Xenopus tropicalis: one gene and its partner. The protein of the gene in region 1 purifies or fractionates together with the protein of each later gene. This does not show direct contact. Links are inferred from orthologs where the notes say so. Each region holds a gene or a part of one and is shown in the gene's direction. Other genes may lie near its edges.

What was found.
Region 2: the proteins of kcmf1 (region 1) and abhd10 purify together in Homo sapiens (affinity purification with mass spectrometry; 3 studies listed by BioGRID and IntAct, counting the BioPlex papers as one, with this or other methods). This does not show direct contact. The link is inferred for Xenopus tropicalis from reciprocal best matches to the Homo sapiens genes KCMF1 and ABHD10.

Annotation. Positions count from the first base shown.
Region 1 is NC_030677.2:94,528,639-94,533,060, forward strand, and holds the start of kcmf1 (E3 ubiquitin-protein ligase KCMF1), read left to right. Parts: upstream 1-1,489; 5' UTR 1,490-1,528; coding exon 1,529-1,544; exon of another isoform or gene 1,545-1,712; intron 1,713-4,422. UniProt on the Homo sapiens protein: E3 ubiquitin-protein ligase which accepts ubiquitin from an E2 ubiquitin-conjugating enzyme and then transfers it to targeted substrates, promoting their degradation by the proteasome.
Region 2 is NC_030678.2:76,649,921-76,654,155, reverse strand, and holds the start of abhd10 (mycophenolic acid acyl-glucuronide esterase, mitochondrial), read left to right. Parts: upstream 1-1,358; 5' UTR 1,359-1,481; coding exon 1,482-1,578; intron 1,579-4,235. UniProt on the Homo sapiens protein: Acts as an acyl-protein thioesterase that hydrolyzes fatty acids from acylated residues in proteins.

The DNA of each region.
Region 1 (4,422 bases):
ATTATATGCCTTCTTCTTTAGACTCTTGCCAGCTTTCAAATGGGGGTCACAAAAAACTTTTGCTCTGTGAGGCTACAATTTCTATTGTTACTTTTTATCACATATATTTCTATTCAGGCTTGTCCTACTCATAATCCAGTCTCCAATTCACACGAACACTTGGTTGAAGGGAAATTTACAACCAAGAGCTGCTGATTGAAAAAAAAACAAAACAAAAAAAAACTGAATAATTAAAAACGAAGAAACAAAAATGAAGACTAACTGCTAATTGTCTCTGCATATCACTCTCTACATTATAATAAAAGTAAAAGGGATTCTGTCACAGGAAAACATGTTTTTTTACAAATGAATCAGTTAATAGCGCTCTTCCAGAAGAATCCTGCATTGACTACCCTTTTTTCCCAAAGAGCAAACAGATTTTTTTAAGTTTAATTTTGATATTTGACATGGAGCTAGACATATTCTTAGTTTAGTGTTTTCTCTTCCTTCTTTCCTCTGAATCCCGGGGCCGGCGCATGCACAGTAGAGTAAAAAAAAGCCGACTTTTTTGGTTAAAGTGAAGACAGAAGAACGAAGAGGAGAAACTCGCTCACGGGGTAAAAGGTAAGCTATTAAAGTAACTGTGGGGGTACCTAACCTTTTGGCACCCCCAGTGACTTAGCCTTTCCTTCTCCTTTAAATATAAAAAAATCTTTTTGCATTTTTGAAAAATGGATTTCAATGCTCTATTAACTTATGTGTATTGAAAAAACATATTTTCCCATTACAGCATTCCTTTAACTGTCTTAAGTAATTTTCCATCCCAAGAAATGCACATGTGCCTGTGCAGAAACATTTTGAAATTAGAGCACATATAAAATTATGTGTGTGTGTGTGTGTGTGTGTGTGTGTGTGTGTGTATATATATATATATATATATATATATATATATATATATAATCTGGCAATTATTCTGGATGAGCCACCTCTCCACAAAAGCAGAAATATAGGCTTTCCACAACAGTTTTAAGAGTGTACAGAAAAACTATTTCTCCCACAGCAGCACAACAGCTAGAGACTGTGGGGTTTATGTAAGCTGCAGCCCAACAACAACAGAAGAAAGAGGTAGGTTGGACGTCCATAATCTACATCACACTATAATACTGACCATTAATATAGAGTTGTTTTAGGTACTGATCATGTATAATGCATATATCAAATATATTTAACCCATACTAAATCCCTTCCGTATTTAATCTAATTCAGGAATAAGCCGTCTATATATTTATGCATAGCCTAAATAGCTTAACTGGTGTCTGCGAAATAATGTGTATGGACCCCAAAGTGATGCTTGAGTGAGTAGAGCCTCTTTTAGACTTGGTGTGCCTTACCTGCTTCCAGTGTTCCTCTGTACGTGTGCTGTCTGTGAGCGTGTGTCAGGAGGAAGAGGAGGAGGGTGCAGAGGAAGCACACACACACACACTGCTGTCTCACTAGGAGGAGGAGGAGCCGGAGCAGCAGCTGCAGCGGCGGCGGCCTGAGCGATAGGATGTCCCGACATGAAGGTGAGAGCCGTGATGGGAGGACATGGGGGGCTAGAAAGCTAGTGTCCCCACACCAGTACCCCCGCACACGCACATCTCTCAGTAGGCAGCCATTCCTCTGTACTTCCTGTTAATATATCTCCTCCAGAGTGGTGAGGGTACAGGCCCAGGCCTCCTCCCTGTGCTGCCGGCTCCACTTGCTGTTCCTGGGAGCTTCTGTTACCCTCTTGGCCCGGCATGTAACGCTACCCCATCGTTTCCTTTTACCTGTCGCCCAGTCGGCAGGCTCCGCATCTTACTGCCCCCTTCCCCTCTCGTGCTCGGGCTCTGTTTACATTCAAGGCCGAGGCTTCAGGCCCGGGACACGGTTAGAGGCCACCCAGTGTACATATACAAACACGTGTATACATTGCACCCCGAAAGTACATTTATGGACAGAGCATACAGTGTATTAGGACACTGAAGTGGGCATTTGTTGGTGTGGGCAGCGGGGAGAGGCCCGGTAAGAAGGAGGAGTAGGGGGATTGCACTGTCATGCGAGGGAGGAGGGGAGCCGTATGCACTGGAAGTTGGGAGGAAGAGGTCAGTTTGTGTATGTTAGTTTAGTTTACAGAATTTTGCATTTTTGTTGAACATGCCTTTTATGGGTAGTGTGTCATATACAGTCAGAGAAATACCCACTGGTTTTATGTTTCTATATCAGTCCATCTGTAGATTCTGCACATGTTAATAGCATGGCTGGAGGAGTGTGTTGTATATTATTGTTGAACTGGGTGCAGTTTGTGTAGGAGGTCAGGGATGTCTAGTCAGGAGCACAACCCAACAATGTCTTTTGAGCCCACACTGCAGGTTGGTCCATCACAGTGAATACACAACTGTATCTATATGTTGTATGTGTGTAAAACCAGATACTTTATGACTGCAATGTATTAATAACATGTGAATTTTTATGTATGATACTTTTCTGTTGTTTTGCGTGACTATTAAAACATTTTTATGAGATTTTTATAGTGATTTTTAAATGTATTCCAGAAAAAAAGACATTTGTTTATTCCTTTCTGTGCTTCTGTTCTGTATCTTGAATTATTATGCCAGAAGTCAGTTTTCCTTATTGTCAATGTTTAGATGTTACATTTTTTTATTCTTATTTCCGTGCCTATTCTTGTTAACTTTGAATATATTATCAATGTATTTTATAAGTATCTTTTTCTATTTATTTCATAATTATTTACAGATATTTGGTGACCTTTAAATACATTTAGTTATGCTAGCAGAACATCACAACCATGCATTCATATGGAAAGAGTTTTAAAATGCAGTTGTTGGTCACAATTTTATACTAGTAATGGTGCAAGGCAATATCTGCTGTGATTGCAGCACACTGATATGAGATAATAGTGTTCTACGTCTATAAAAGATCATTTCATTTTGCTTTTATGCCAGGGTTTGAAGTATTATGTGCTCCATTCCAATGTATGACAGCTGCATCTTAAACATGCAATAAATAGAGGGCCTTTTCAAAGAATGGCCAGACTACCAACTGCATAGATGCAATGTCAGCATCTGACACACTCAAGTGTCTCACGGTCTCACTGTTTCAAATACAGGTATTGCATTTGTGCTGTGGCTAAAGCCCATTGCCTTTCTGTGACTGGGTCTTTAATGTACAACATGTTCACTGTCTGTAAAAAACATTGCAGCAGTTTCAAAGGGGTTGTTCACCTCTGAGTTAACTTTTAGTATAATGTAGAGTATAATATCTTTGCAGTTGGTCTTGATTTTTTGTCAGTAGTTTTTTTTTTAAATTAAATTCTAGTTCAGCAACTCTTCATATTGGAGTTTTAACAGCTATGGTACAAATTACCTTCGCAGCCAGGGAGTGGTTTGAATAAGAGACTGATGAGGAGGAGAGAAAAAAATGATAAAAAGTAATAATAACAATAAAACTGTAGTCTGTAGTTTTTGGCTGCTGGGGTCAATGTCCCCCATTTGAAAGCTACAAAGAATTTAAAGAAGAAGGCAAATAATTCAAAAACTATAAGGAGTAAATAATGAAGACCAATTGAAAAGCTGCTTAGACTTGGCCATTCTATAACATTCTAAAAGTAAAATTAAAGGTGAAGCACTCCTTTAAGAGTTATATCATTGTGGCAGCTACACTTTGGAGCCTTGTTTTAAAAACAAATGTATTCAAACCTTTGATAGGATAGCAGCCATTACATTACATGCGTTCACATACTAGGTGATATAAAGAAAAAGACAATGCACAACAGCCTATGTGGCAGTTTACATCTTTTTCTTCGCTAAGAACAAATCTTAGACTTGTTGAAACAAAACAGTGGCAGGGCCATAGCTGGCCCACTGGGCTCTGGTTGGGCATCCTTTATGTACTGTAATGCAGAAATTTAGAGTAGTCTTCAGCTTTTGGGTGCCTTTTAAATGTTTGGGTCGTATCAGTGATTGTAAAAAAAGATTTTAAACTAAGTACTATAATGTGTTTTTGGCAGAATATAAAAATATTTGCTAATTTACAAATAACATTTTTCAGTATTGTTTTTTCCATCCCCCTCCTTTTAAAATGAGTGTAAATTCAGTGCTTGTGCTTTATGCAGTACTTTTAATCAAAATGTACCTTGGGATTATCCGGCGATGAGGAAAATAGAGGAAAAATAATAACTTAAATCACGGATTCCTTGTTCAGTTTAAGATATATTAAAACAGACTTGTTTTATAAAGAGAGGTTAACAAGTCAATGTGTACAAGCAAGAACCTATTAACGTTTATTTAGTCCTATAGCATTATTTATAGCATTATTTTCATTTCAGTAGTCTTGCAGGAGGTGGCTAGGAGGATTTCTTGAGAATATTGTTTTTTTCCTGAGAAACCACAAATCAAGTTG
Region 2 (4,235 bases), on another chromosome or scaffold:
GGATCAGACGCAAATGTGCTATACCCTCATACTGTACTACCTAAGGAAAACAATATAGCAACTCCTACATTAAAATACAAATATAGAGAGAAGGCAGTCAGTTATAAGTGAGTTATAACTATCTACCAGTTTTGCCCCCCATACACAGGTGCCCCCCATACACAGGAGCCCCACCACACACAGTGTCCCCTATACAAAGTAGCCCCCCATACACAGTAGCCCCCCCATACACAGTGCCCCCTATACACAGTAGCCCCCCATACACAGTGCCCCCTATACACAGTAGCCCCCATACACAGTGCCAGGGCCGGATTTGTTTGCGGCGCGCCCCTAGGCCACCCCGTTGAACGGCCCGCGCCCCCCCAATGCGCATGCGCAAATGAGCGAACAACCGCTCGTCTCTCTACCCCGCCCCCTCATACATTTAAAGCCCCATACGGAGCAGTGGGGAGAAGTTCCCACTGCTCCGTATTGAAAAAAACTTTAAAAATTCCATTGCGGCGGGGCGGCATGCCGCCCCTACTTTTCTGCCGCCCTAGGCCCGGGCTTTTGTGGCCTCTCCACAAATCCAGGCCTGCACAGTGCCCCCTCATACACATTACCCCCCCATACACATTACCCCCCACAGTAGCTCCTCCTTCTTCTGCGGCTCCTCTCCTTATGCGGCGGCGACAGGCCCTTTATATGGTTGCGCCCGTGCGTAATGATGTCACACGTACCCACAGGCGCAACCTTATAAAAGGGCCTGTCGTGCTGTATAAGGAGCCGCATAACGAGTAAAGCCGCCGGGGAAGTCTGAACGTCCGGCTCCAGCCAGCGCATCCCGCAATGTGGGACATTCATGGAACTATCTGGGACAGTGGGATGCACCATGAAAAGCGGGACTGTCCCGCGAAAAGCGGTGTATGTGTCTGCTATATTTTATGAATGAGCGATACTTCCCCTGCATGCTGTGCTCTGCCAGAGATTCCCAGGAGTGAGAGATATATGTTAGGGGTGGGAAGGTGAAACTGCCCAGCACACAAATAAAGGCAGCAGCCTCTTCTGCCTGATAAAAGACAGAGCCCCCTCAGCCCCTCACCCACTGAGCAGGAGAGGAATGCAGCCAATGCCAATAGTTAACCCTTGCCTGTCACAAATGCTCCTCCCAGGACAATTAAACATCAAGGTAAGGCTGTGAGCTTGAGTGTAGCAGGGGAGATTGAAGAGTTAAGGGGGCGGGGCTTTATTCCCCTGAGCAGAGCAAGCACAGCAATCAATTAAATTGCAAACCTGAAAAGTGGGACATCTAACAGTGAATCCGGGACAGCAGGAAGTGCCATAAATATCGTCCCTGTCCCTGAAAGCGGGACGGTTGGGAGGTATGCACCACAGACACAGCCTCTGGCATTCACCTAGTAATGTGACAGGTCCTTGTTCCTGGGAACTGCGGCTCTCGCGTTGCTTTACTGGCAGTGTGAGGAGGAGGGCGGAGAGCAGATATGGCGTCCGTAACCTTACGCCGAGCCTGTGTGTGGGCGCTGGGGTCTTGTGCGCAGGGGCTTATTCAGTCCAAAGTCATAGTTCCTAGGCTTGCAGGTGAGGCTTCTTGTGAAAGGTAATGCCGCCTAACCTGCGGCTGATCTTACTTGATGTAACTTGCTGACATTGGTGCTTTAACTCCCCTGCTAGGTGTCAGCCAGATGAAGTGAAATATTATTTAAATGTGCAGGAATGTCATATGCAATAGCAAAGAAACTGCTCCTGTGCACAGTGGCGAGTAATTTGCTCAACAATATGTGGGTTTTAGGATTATAATAAATCCAAAATAACACTTAGCTGTCTTTTGACTTGACATTATTAATCATACCTCCCAACCGTCCCACTTTCAGCGGGACAGTCCCGATATTTATGGCACTTCCCGCTGTCCCGGATTCACTGTTAGATGTCCCGCTTTTTAGGTTTGCCATTTAATTGATTGCTGTGCTTGCTCTGCTCCGGGGAATAAAGCCCCGCCCCCTTAACTCTTCAATCTCCCCTGCTACACTCAAGCTCACAGCCTTACCTTGATGTTTAATTGTCCTGGGAGGAGCATTTGTGACAGGCAAGGGTTAACTATTGGCATTGGCTGCATTCCTCTCCTGCTCAGTGGGTGAGGGGCTGAGGGGGCTCTGTCTTTTATCAGGCAGAAGAGGCTGCTGCCTTTATTTGTGTGCTGGGCAGTTTCACCTTCCCACCCCTAACATATATCTCTCACTCCTGGGAATCTCTGGCAGAGCACAGCATGCAGGGGAAGTATCGCTCATTCATAAAATATAGCAGACACATACACCGCTTTTCGCGGGACAGTCCCGCTTTTCATGGCGCATCCCGCTGTCCCAGATAGTTCCATGAATGTCCCACATTGCGGGATGCGCTGGCATCATTACGCACGGGCGCAACCATATAAAGGGCCTGTCGCCGCCGCATAAGGAGAGGAGCCGCAGAAGGAGGAGCTACTGTGGGGGGTAATGTGTATGGGGGCTACTGTGTATAGGGGGCACTGTGTATGGGGGGGCTACTGTGTATAGGGGGCACTGTGCAGGCCCGGATTTGTGAAGAGGCCACAAAGGCCCGGGCCTAGGGCGGCAGAAAAGTAGGGGCGGCATGCCGCCCCGCCGCAATGGAATTTTTAAAGTTTTTTTCAATACGGAGCAGTGGGGAGAAGTGGGGCTTTAAGTGTATGAGGGGGCGGGGTAGGGAGACGAGCGGTTGTTCGCTCATTTGCGCATGCGCATTGGGGGGGCGCGGGCCGTTCAACGGGGTGGCCTAGGGGCGCGCCGCAAACAAATCCGGCCCTGGCACTGTGTATGGGGGCTACTGTGTATAGGGGGCACTGTGTATGGGGGGCTACTGTGTATAGGGGGCACTGTGTATGGGGGGGCTACTGTGTATGGGGGGCTACTTTGTATAGGGGACACTGTGTGTGGTGGGGCTCCTTTAAATGTATGAGCATGCGCACTCGCGAGCGCGCAGGGAGGGCGGGGTAGGGAGACGAGTGGTTGTTCGCTCATTTGCGCATGCGCATTGGGGGGGCACGGGCCGTTCAATGGGGTGGCCTAGGGGCGCGCCGAAAACAAATCCGGCCCTGGCACTGTGTATGGGGGCTACTGTGTATAGGGGGCACTGTGTATGGGGGGCTACTGTGTATAGGGGGCACTGTGTATGGGGGGGCTACTGTGTATGGGGGGCACTGTGTATGTGGGGCTACTGTGTATGGGGGGCTACTGTGTATGGGGGGCTACTGTGTATAGGGGACACTGTGTGTGGCGGGGCTCCTGTGTATGGGGGGGCTCCTGTGTATGGGGGGCAAAACTGGTAGATAGTTATAACTCACTTATAACTGACTGCCTTCTCTCTATATTTGTATTTTAATGTAGGAGTTGCTATATTGTTTTCCTTAGGTAGTACAGTATGAGGGTATAGCACATTTGCGTCTGATCCCGCCATTTCATCTATATAAAAGGAGTATTTTTACAAAAAATGGGGTGAGGTAATTGGGGCGTGGCCACAAAAGTGGGCGTGGTCAAAAAATTGCCGCGCTACGCGCACCAAAACTTTTTGTCCCTCTTTTCATTTTTCAAATGTTGGGAAGTATGTTATATTGCTATAGATACTTAGAATATCTATAGCCCTGTGGTTGGTGCTTATAAATATATGTTATTAGTAATTAAAATGGACCTTTACATTTAATAGAATTTTATTTATATAAATTGGTTTCCTACCTACATAGATTCATGTGGCATAGTTACCATCAAGTACAAGGTATTGTTTTATTATTCCAGAGAAGGAATTATTCTGAGCTTTCTTGATATTGGGTTTCTAAATATGAGATCCCATACATGATTGTTAGAAATAGTGAGCTTAGCTGGCAAGTTGCATAGCACAGATTTTTTTCTGACAAGCAAATCTAAAAGTTACATTATGTGCTAGCAGTGTGCCTGAGCCTCTCACCAAAATGTTTTTTCTAGCCCCCCCCCTCCATGTAAAATTGGACTCGCAAACACCTCCCTCCATGGCCCTCTGTATAGAGGAAGTAGACCCTGGCTGCGGGGTCTCCTTCCTCTATACAGTATAGGGGATCAGAAAAGTCTTAATATCCGGGAAAATGTAAATTTACTATATGCTGGTGATTATGTTTTATACTGGGTGGACAACAAAAAAGGTGTAAAATGGAGCAAAACTTCAAATCATGGTATGTAAAATTAAGGTTTCAC